Xenopus tropicalis: one gene and its partners. The protein of the gene in region 1 purifies or fractionates together with the protein of each later gene. This does not show direct contact. Links are inferred from orthologs where the notes say so. Each region holds a gene or a part of one and is shown on either strand. Other genes may lie near its edges.

Region 1 (3,656 bases):
TTAAACACCAAACATGCAGGACTATATACACAGAGTAGAACACAGAACTCTGAGTATTATAACCAACCCATCAAAATAAATTAAAAAGATAGACTGTAATCCATAATCAGGACAGTAGACAATCCTATTACAGGTATAGGACCCATTATCCAGAATGCTCGGGACCAAGGGTATTCCGGATAAGGGGTCTTTCCGTAATTTGGATCTCAACACCTTAAGTCTACTAAAAAATCAATAAAAAATTAATTAAACCCAATAGGATTGTTTTGCATCCAATAAGGATTATTTATATCTTAGTGGGGATCAATTCCAAGGTACCGTTTTATTTCTACATAGAAAAGGGAAATCAGTTTTATAATTCTGAATTATTTGATTATAATGGAGTCTATGGGAGACGGGCTTTCCGTAATTCGGAGCTTTGTGGATAACGGGTTTCCGGATAAGGGGTCCGATACCTGTAATATGATTTATTACCATAAATCTGTATTATTTATTATCGTAAATCCTTCCAAAAATAAAGTTGTTGTTCTGTTATCTGCTAATATTTTCTCAAAAGGTGAATATAAAGACTTCACCCACAGTTTAAAAGAGAGAAAAAAAATGGGCAGAATACAAATACCCCATGGATCAAAGGAGGATATTTCTACCAAAGTGCATAACCAACAGTGAACATAATTTGCTAATTTTCTGCCCAGCTCCTGTATCCTGGAAAATTGAAAATTAAGTGATTTAGCAGTCACAAAGATGAACTCTGTGCTAAATACCATCCGGTCCTGGACCTTTCAAATGTTTACTTTAATATGTTTTCTTCAAATGTTCTAATCTCTTTTAAACTTACCATAGTCAACCAGCCACCAATAGATAATTATTAGAATTGGGCCCATTAAAAAAGGTTTTCAGGCACAAATGGCTACCTAGGTTGGCATTTTGAGGTAATTGGCAATTAAGTGTGATCTTGTGTGTTTTGCCACTGCATTTTACTAAGACAAAATGTAGCAGGCAAAATACAGGTCTGACTGATGGGACATAGATGGGATTCTGTGTGCATTTTATGGACTAAAATAAAGACTGTGTCAATAAAGACAATTTCACCTGTTCCAATGAAACAACGTAACACATCTACAAATGAATATTCTATACATATATCCCCTCACAACAGCCTTACGTACACTTTTTTAAGCTTTTCAAGCACAATTCGTCTTCGGATTTGCTGCTGAGAGCAAGAATCTACAAGAGGAAGGGCTGGGGTCCACAAGGTATCAGTCTAAAAAGAAATAAAAATATTGTTAGGCTTGCACTACAGTACTAAATACGAGAAGCATCTGTTTATACTGAACCAAGTGGTTAATGTGTGTTATTTTAAATGGTACAGTGTAATATTAATAGGGATGCACCGAATCTAGGATTCGGTTCGGGATTAGGCCTTTTTCAGCAAGATTCGACCAAATCCACGTTCCTGGCACGAACCGAATCCTAAAAATCATTTCACGTAAACGCGGAAGTAAACATTTGGGTTCGGTATTCAGTCAAATCCTTTATAACGGATTCTTTAAGTTGCAACCAATGGGAGCTAGCTAGACATGAAAATATATGTGCATGGACTTTATAACAGAGTTTGTAGAATTAAAAACACTGTGTCCAAAACTGCTTGAAATAATTGTGTATGATACAGACCAAATTTAGGTGCGGTGGTTCATCTACTTTTTAGTGCAGAAGGATTATTGTTCTTGCTGCTAGCAGGAAATAATGGGTTAGAAATCTGCTCTTTTATATACTGTCTGAAAGCACTCTTTTAGAAGTCATTGGCTATTAATTGAAACCTATTTGCCTGCAACCTGTTTAGGGTCACATATAAGCTAGTCCAAACAGACTAAAATGGGCTGAAGGGTCACCACATATTACTTCCTTTAAGGTAGCCATACACAAATAGACCCAAGGTTGCCAAACAAGTGGATCTTTCCCCAGTATGGCCACCTGTATTTAGGTCTGGTGCCACCCTAGCTCAACTGCTGGATTTACAAGGGAATCTCTCTGTTAGCGGCTAGGGAGAGTTTAAGAAAAAAAAAAATTATTGTATGGGCACCTGAGAGACGTCCCAGGCACAGGCCCTCGGATATAAATATGGCCATGGATATTGGATTGATTAAATCTTTAATTGTATTGATTTTTGGCCAGATATTGGTCAGGCAGGTCAGTCTGAGGGTCCCATAAAAGGGTCGATAAGTAAGATAAGGTAAATCTGGCCAACAGAGTGGTAGAAGTGGTAGAAATAATTTATATCCCTTTATAAAAACAAAAACACGAATATCAGCATTTATCTACACTTACTTCTTTATTTCTAGTCTCTTTTCCTTCATTTATTTTATATTCCATGTCTTCTGGCAAAATGTAATGTCCATGAAAAAAATCTTTCACCCTAATTTGTTGCATACATGCCTTCTCTTTTAGCTTTTCATAATCTGGCACTACTTTCGCTGGATTTCTCGTTTCATGGAAAGGCAAAGACTCATTCAAGCTGCTGACTTTATTTGGATCGAAACTTAAATCATCTTCATCCAGGTCCTCAACCTCAACTCTACTCCTTACAGAGTCTTTCTTATGAAATGAGGAATCGATCACATAGTTTGCACCAAACAAATATTTCAGGGTTTCTTCAGTTTTCCATTCATTTAAGGTCTGTGTAAGTACCTCTAGCATACCTCCCTTAGCAGCACCAGGGGAAATACCCTCTTTAAGAGCAGTCTGATACTGTGTAGAATTGCGCAGTATTTTACGAAGCTGTTCTGCCCCTTTTTTGCTCACAGCTCTGTGTGTCAATCCCAACATTTCTGAATTACTTTGTACATTATGTGAACTTTCAACACTTTTTGGACAGTTCGGTATTTTAGAGTTTGACATGATTTCTTGGTCGCTTAAATTGCATTTATGCAAACTTTCCACTGTTTCTGTTAAGCTGTGCGCTAGGTTATGAGCCTTTTCCAAATTAATAGAATTCTTCTTTCCTACTTTTTTGGTATCATTGCTGCTTGAGATTACTGACGAAACAAAGGCCTGCTCGTTGTCCCCTTGACCATCGCTATCACTGCCAGGAGAGTTGGGATCATATTCCTCAGTAAATGTTGAAAGTTTTTCGATCTCTGACTCTTTGATGCATCTTTCAGATAATTTAACCTCTATACCAGAATGACCACTAGAATATAAACAGGTAAAGTGAAAATAGGAATGCATTTTTTCTGCATATGTTAAAGGGGTTGTTCACCTTAATAGTAACTTTTAATATGTTATAAAATGTTCTATTACTAGCAGCTTTGCAACTTGGCTTCATTATTTCTTTTTTGTAGTTTTCAAATTATTTGCCTCCCACTTCTACATCCTTCAAGCTTTCAAATGGAGGTCACTGACCCCAACAGGCACAAACTATTGCTCTGTGAGCTTACAGTTAAATTATTGTTACTTTTTTATTACTTACCTTTCTATTCAGCCCTTCTCCTATTTATATACCACTCTCTCATACCACTGTCTGGTGTTATCCAGAATGCTCGGGACTAATAACAAAATCATTCAAACATTCAATAAGCCAAATAAGATTGTTTTACATCCAGTAAGGATTAAGAATATATTAGACAGGATCATGTACAAGTTACTGTTTTTATATT
Region 2 (3,530 bases), on another chromosome or scaffold:
GCCTACTATTACCTCAGTACTCAAATCACTATTTTTATCAGTATCTCCCTGAATCCCTTGGCCCCTAGGACCAAAAATTATTGCGGTCAGGATAGACCGCAATAGATAGATGGGGCGATTAATCACAGTGACTAATCTGTCTGTTCACACTCAATGTATTCTGACTCAGTGGGGGGAATTCACAAAAGTGTCGGTAAGTACACATTTCTCAAAGTGTCAGTCACCAAATTATAAAAATGTTGTGAGCATAAAAGGTATCTTATAGTTTTATGGATTTGTTGTATTGGTGCCAAATTTTAAAAAGTGTCATATACACAGTATGTGTATGAAAATGTCATTTGTGTGCCAAAACATTTATACAGACTTAGGAAACATTGTCGATAGGTTAATTTTGCCTAACATTTTCGTTATGGAGGAGACATTTTGGCATAAAAAATGTCTGTAAAAATGTTGTGGGTACAGCTTATTCTCATAAAGATTGTACACAATAGCCATGCCCACGTTTTAACATTTTGTGAAAATTGTTGGTAAAACAAACGGAAAACGTATTTTAGAAACAAAATATTTATTAACAATAAAAGAGATTCACAAAATCAAAAGCAGTGAAAAGCCACTGAGCAAATAATCCTAAAAAAAGGAGAGTCTCTGGTACAAAGACGGCAATGGATATGGGGCGACTGGCATCATCGAGGATTCCAGGAGTTCATCAGAACAAATGGCCTATCAGGGAGGAGGACACTTTCCTCTTTAGTACTGGAAGCTTCGCTTGGTCTGAATATCATCCAGGATCTGTTGCAGCTCCTCTTCCTCAAACCTCCCTTCCAGACTTAAAGGGAGAGAAAGAAAAAGGCGTTACCCAAAAGAAATAACATTATGATACTGCCAACACTTTACACGATGCTTTAAAGGCACTTTGAGCATCACATTTTTACACAGCCCAGTAATATTGCCTATACAGTTTTCTCCCCAGGGAAAAAAAGCGGGATTTTTCCACCTCACGAGGAAGAATAAAACTGATCTTACAGGAGAATAGTATTCTACTACAAGTGACCTGGGGGAAGAGCAGAATTGCCAGTGAAGTGCCCAGCCAAAATACCATAGGGAGAACACAGTGCCAATGCAGGTCAGGCAATTTTAATAGCAATGGGTTCAGCATTTTGGCAAATAAGTTTTGGGCTGCTCAAACAAATCACTAAGAAGGCCCCATATGCAGTTACCCTTGGAAGCACCAGAGAGTTACAAAAGTAAATAAACAAGTATAAAAACCGGGTGGGAATGCCCAACCACACAAGATGGATTAAAAAATGTAAACCTTCCAAAAAAAAAAAAAAAGTAAAATTGTGCCTAGAGCACTTAAGCAATTTACATTTCCCCCCCAAGATTAGAAGCGGTTTTTAAACTAATATGAATTTTTTTAACAACAGCGCCACCTGCTGGTTTTCTGACACTAATACCATCAAGAATATGTCCACTTTGAGCAATTGTGTAATTTTTTTTTTTTTGTAAGGTTTACAGTTTCTGTAAATCACTGGGAGGTGTAAATCTGGGCCTCTAGCCAAGGGTAAATGGCTGGGGAGAGCTGCGCCTTCATATTTCTTTAGCTATTCCCTGTACAGGCATGGGCAGCATGCACAACAAAGCGCTAACATACTGTGCATTTGCAGGATCCCACACAAGGAACAGATGGAATATGTAAAAAGACAGTGGCACTCACTGGCCAAGTACCCAAGGCTGGTCCTTTTTTTATTTTAAAGAGGTGCTACAGTCTGGATAATTTGGCACCTTCAGTGATTCAACTTTTCCTTGTTCCGTTATGGGAAATGAAATGCATTGAGGATTAAACAAGAAGAGAAAGCAGGTAAGATATTGGATTAGTATTGCCGTCTGTATGGGATGGAAGGAGTTCTAGGACAAGTTGAGCTGAGTTAGAAAAGTGGGGGATAAAAAGGGGCATTAAAGGAGAATTTCTGCTAGAATGTGTAAGAACACAGAGAGGAACTGGATTTTTTAAATAAGTAATATGAGGAGCATATTCTGGTGAATTTGTACTTTTGATTTACCTTGGGATCAAGGCTTTAGCCTCATCTGCTGTCTCTGGGCACAGATTGGCCAAACAGGCTAGCTCAAAGCGATGCAGCTTCTTCTGTAACAGCAAGCTTGCAAGGACACAGAGGAACACAGGTTACACAGGTCATTCCAAGAGAGGTAATGTTACTGCTGCTCCCTGAACCAGTACAAAATATGACAATTTGAACTTTAAACCAGCCTTACAAGACTAATCATACTCCCTTCTGCAGGTCAACATTTGGCCAATCTCCTTCCTTAGCTTAAAGTGATAGTGACACTAAAAAATTATTTTTTAAAATATTAATGTACATTAAGTTACCCATAGGCCATGCTGATCATTTGCTTTTTCAAGTAACTGAAGTTCCTAAACCTGACTGTCCCTGTTCAACCTGGCAGTTATAGCTTCTACCCCACCCCACCCCCCAGCAGCCGATCAGTAGAATAATGGGAAGGGAGCAAGATAGCAGCTCCCAGTAAATATCAGAATAGCACACCTCTGTGAGTTTCAGATGTCACCTTTCTGAAGAGTTACAAAGTGCCATTGTGATTGGATTAGTGGAAGAGTATATATGCTGAGGACTTCCCATACCAGTCAGTTGAACTGAAGAAGCTGCTCGGATGAGTAGTGAAACGTCTTCAATGATTACTAAACAAGTCCAGTTGCTTTAAATTTATTTATACTAGATATACCATGACCTGGATGAATGAAAATCTTCATAGACACTCAATAGTAAGAAATCCAAGTCCGGCTTGGGACTCCTCCGGTTACATGGGAGTAGGAGAAACAATAGGTTACCTGAAAGCAGTTCTAATGTGTAGCACTGGCTCCTTCTGAAAGCTCAGACTCAGGCACAATGCACTGAGATGGCGCCTACACACCAATATTACAGCTAAAAAATACATTTGTTGGTTCAAGAATAACATTTAAATGGTAGAGTGAATTATTTGCTATGTAAACAGTGTAATTTAGAAATAAAAAATTACACCATAAAAATCAGGACTGCATAAACAATCTTATATGTAAGACCCTGCTTCATCTAAATAAAACCATTTTCTTCAAAATATATTTGGTTTTAGTAGTATGTGCTATTGGGTAATCCTAAATAGAAAATAGCCATTTTAAGAATTAAGGGCCGCCTCCCGGGATCATAGGAGTCACAGTGCACACAAACAAGCCAAGGCACACATACATGTTAGGCCCCATCAGCCAATGAATGGACACAGTTCTGCCTTTTGCTCCCACACTACTGATTGTTAAGTATTCATTCTGGGGGTACAGTTTTTCTTTAAGGAAGACATCATATATACAAGTTAGCAGCCCCCGGGGAGAAATCCAACCCACCTTCCAAATGGCACAACTGCACTTGGTGCCTTAACTGTTCAGAAAAAGCAGTGGGGTTAGTGGGCACCATCTTGCACTGCTTCAACTTTGCAGCAAACTTGCACCAGGAACATGTGCAGAT
Region 3 (3,756 bases), on another chromosome or scaffold:
TAGATAGTAACAATCTTACATCTAACAATTTTTCATCCGACATTAGTCATAAAATTGATTGGGCGGGTTTGAAAATTTTTGTAGTTAAATTTTGCCCATTATCCAAATGTTTGTAGGATCAAGCAGGCAGTTTTCTTAGATTCAACTAGACGATATCAATTGAAATTATAGTTTTCGTTAATGGGCAAATCGTACTTTTAAACTATTATTTTAAACTAGATAAGCTTGGTTCTACGATAATGAAAAGATTTTTCAAAAATCCAGCCAGCTTAAGTGAGACCAACTTTCAAGGAAATCAGGGATAATATCCTAGCTGGGTTAAATGTACTAGGCGACCTAGTACTATCAATAATGTAGCTCACTGCTGTCATCATGTTCAGTCTCCCATAAGGAAGCTGGGAAATCCGAGCTCCCTCTTGTTCAAACATTTGGTGCTTGCTGCTGGGGGAGCTACTGCCTAGTGCGGGTTGACCCAAAACCTGTGGGATCCATGGGTCAGAGGGTCTGGAATGGGTAAAGGCTTTGGAAGTTAGAGTCAGATCCAATTTGAGTTTTTCCTGAGCCGCACATCACTACCAAAGCCTTTTTCTCTAGTACTCTCGGGGATTCCCTGCACTGTCCTGGATAGGCAAATTCACAGTTTAGGCCTTTTTTTTTTTTTTTTGGAGACTTCTTTACTTGCTGCTGGCTAGAGCCTCTTGTTTCCAATCACATAATTCTGCAAGAATACTCCACAGTAATAAAACACTGCTTAAAAAGCTACTTATAAAAATGAACTTTTAGTTGGCATATTTTGTAACACTGCATTACCTTGTTTTATTGGGATCCACTGGACTACATTAGACAAGCAGTTAGGTACACCTCCATTAGCGAGGTACCATTCACAAATTACAAACAATAGGCTGGCTTTCTGTTTTTTTGCCTTCTTTCTCTCTCTTCAGTTCAAGTTTACTGAGTATACATATCAAATTACAGCTTGTACAGTTCACCATACAACCAACAAGGTATATAAACATCACTGTTGTAAAGAGAAACTGAAGAGAGTTAAAAGTTAAGTCATTTCAAATGCAGACCATTATTAAAAATGAGTTACGTTATTACAGTTGTAGGGAAACCTATCCTTGAAGAGGGTGTTTTCTTAGCCAGAGTGCAGGTAAGGTTTGGAAGCACACTACACTTGGAGCAGATTTATCAAATTGTAAGATTAGAACTCACCACAGAAAAATTCACCCTATGGTATTTTTATAAGTGTATTTAGCAAATTTAGCAAACTCTAACTTTAATTCGTTGATATGCTTCTAAAAAATCTCACAGGGATAAACAGAATGTGGATGAATTTTTATATGGAGAGCTGTAATCTTACATGTTTATAAACCTGCCCCTCCGTGCATATTGTTGTAACTCAGAGAGAGGAAGGAGCGACTGGAAGCGGCCGCAAGGCGGCACTACCAATGCTTGGAAGCAGCTAAAAGTATCATGGGTGTAGCAACATGGCTGCTCCGCATTCCTTAGACAATGTGGTTGACGAAATTCCGCTTTTCCTCGCCTCGGCTTCCTCTGAATGCTGAGTGGAACATAACTGTAAACAGAACACTGAATGTAAATGTTGTTCCTTAGCAGGGAGTATTTAGTAATATTTTAAGGTCACTAGTGGATGAAGGTGCCCTGTATCTTTGCTTGCGTTATCTAGGTGGGCCCAGTGAGGCGCCAGGGAAAAGCGCGGGGTGCGTAGCGAAAGCTCCGATCTCCCTAGTGGGAAAGTGGCTAGAGCCATATAGGGTAACTGGAACAGGCGCTGGTTGGAGACGAAGAGCGGTGGTGGGGGATGTCTGCTTTCTCAGAGGCGGCTTTGGAGAAGAAGCTATCGGAGCTGAGTAACTCCCAGCAAAGCGTGCAGACCCTGTCCCTGTGGCTCATCCACCATAGAAAACACTCACGGGTCATCGTCACCGTGTGGGACAGGGAGCTGCGGAAAGGTAAGGTAAGGCAAGCCAGGCAGCCTCAGTAATTGGAAACGCCAAGTTATAGGAGGGTAACGTAGAAGCGTTAGAACTGGATGTAACGTTGCATTTGTAGGAGATTGTTGCTGCTGTTACACAAATAGTATTTACATTCTAATGAAGATAGAAATGGCTGTGTGACGTCCCTCAAGCGACGCACATTGTAGCTCCGGACTGCGGCGTCTTACAGTCCCTCGAAGAGGCACCCTCGGGAAAGCAGATGTTCGGCAAATAAACAGGTTCCCTACTGAAGAAAATCGTTTCCCTACCTGCTTGTAATCTCTTTCTACAAATGGTGACGCTGGTCCTGCTTTTAATAGGAATATTCAACATTTGACCGGTGCGTTATTATCGGATTGTCGCAGAAAAAAAACAGGCCTTATTTTCAGTTGCGCGCAATGAAACCCACGCACAAAACTACACAAATTATGTTTATATGTATATTTTTCAGTGAGAAACAAAATTATCACTATAGGTATATGGGGAAAATCTGCTCAACAAAGGTGCCCAAGCACATGCGATAGTTGTTGTGTAACCAATATTACATATTATTGTAGCAAAGGGTGCAAAAGGGGTGTAGCAAATTATTGTAGCAAAGGGTGTGATAAACTTTTATTATCATCTGGCCACTTGTTGGGGTGGCACTGCTTTGGAAATAGTTGAAGGAGCTATGCTATGCTACTCAAATATGTGTTTTTTTTGTGTGTTTAACCTGCATTTAAAATGCATGTTTGGGCACACTTGTTTAAAATAGTTTTTTTCCAAAAATGCAACATGGTGCATTTTTATGCGCTCGACATTAAAATAGAGAGCTGCCTTTAGAAGAACACAGTATAACTATGTTGATGAAGTGCAAAATGCAATTTTGATTTGCATTTAGTCTCCTGTCCAAATGTGTTATAATAATTTTCAGTGGAAGTAAGAAAGGAAAAGGAAAATATTAAGTATTTGACAAAGACAATATTTTTGTATTACATATTTTATTGTGTGGGGATGGAACAAAAAAAACACATATCTAGCATAACCCTTACATGGTTAATGTGGCCATACACAGGCCGATTCTAGCTGCTGATATCAGTCCCTTAGACCGATTCAGCAGCTTATCGGGCCGTTTATGGGCACTAACGACGGGCCTGCCCGACTGACATCTGGCCTGAAATCGTCCAGATCTCGATCGGGCAGGTTTGAAATTTAGTCAGATTGGGAACCGCATCAGCTCATTGACGCAGTCCCTGAACCGACGGACGCCTATACCCCTCATTCTAATTTGATTGTTTTGCCCCAGGGCCAAACGTCCGAATTAGCACGATATCGCCCACCCGTAGGTGGGGATATTGGGAGAAGATCCACTCACTTGGCAACCTTGCCAAGCGAGCAGATCTTAGTGTGTATGGCCACCTTTAGAAACCTAAACCTCTAGATAATAAAATGCACAGGGGCCGTGGTGCTGCACTTGCATTAATTGTCATTTCTTTTTCCCAGAGTTCTTACGTAAATGCTTGGAATTACGACTGTCAAAATAACATAATGCACCAACCTGCTTTTTAAATGATCAAATTGCGAAGATTATGACACAAACTGCTGACTCATTATTGTTTTTTCCTTAAGTTTTGAGAATGAAGATGCATTACATTGCTTGATTTATTTCAGCTCATCTACAGAATATTCCTGTTGCACTAATCAAATGTGTGTTAAAGGACCAGTAACACCATAAATTGAAGGGTTTTGTTTTTTTCACTTTAAATTTGTCTGTCCA

What was found.
Region 2: the proteins of rpap2 (region 1) and polr2d purify together in Homo sapiens (affinity purification with mass spectrometry; 5 studies listed by BioGRID and IntAct, counting the BioPlex papers as one, with this or other methods). This does not show direct contact. The link is inferred for Xenopus tropicalis from reciprocal best matches to the Homo sapiens genes RPAP2 and POLR2D.
Region 3: the proteins of rpap2 (region 1) and rprd1a purify together in Homo sapiens (affinity purification with mass spectrometry; 3 studies listed by BioGRID and IntAct, with this or other methods). This does not show direct contact. The link is inferred for Xenopus tropicalis from reciprocal best matches to the Homo sapiens genes RPAP2 and RPRD1A.

Annotation. Positions count from the first base shown.
Region 1 is NC_030680.2:104,520,137-104,523,792, forward strand, and holds part of rpap2 (putative RNA polymerase II subunit B1 CTD phosphatase RPAP2), read right to left. Parts: intron 3,191-3,656; coding exon 2,329-3,190; intron 1,265-2,328; coding exon 1,170-1,264; intron 1-1,169.
Region 2 is NC_030681.2:125,368,206-125,371,735, forward strand, and holds the end of polr2d (DNA-directed RNA polymerase II subunit RPB4), read right to left. Parts: intron 2,157-3,530; coding exon 2,061-2,156; intron 827-2,060; coding exon 748-826; 3' UTR 549-747; downstream 1-548. UniProt on the Homo sapiens protein: Core component of RNA polymerase II (Pol II), a DNA-dependent RNA polymerase which synthesizes mRNA precursors and many functional non-coding RNAs using the four ribonucleoside triphosphates as substrates.
Region 3 is NC_030682.2:67,024,956-67,028,711, reverse strand, and holds the start of rprd1a (regulation of nuclear pre-mRNA domain-containing protein 1A), read left to right. Parts: upstream 1-1,469; 5' UTR 1,470-1,825; coding exon 1,826-1,976; intron 1,977-3,756. UniProt on the Homo sapiens protein: Interacts with phosphorylated C-terminal heptapeptide repeat domain (CTD) of the largest RNA polymerase II subunit POLR2A, and participates in dephosphorylation of the CTD by RPAP2.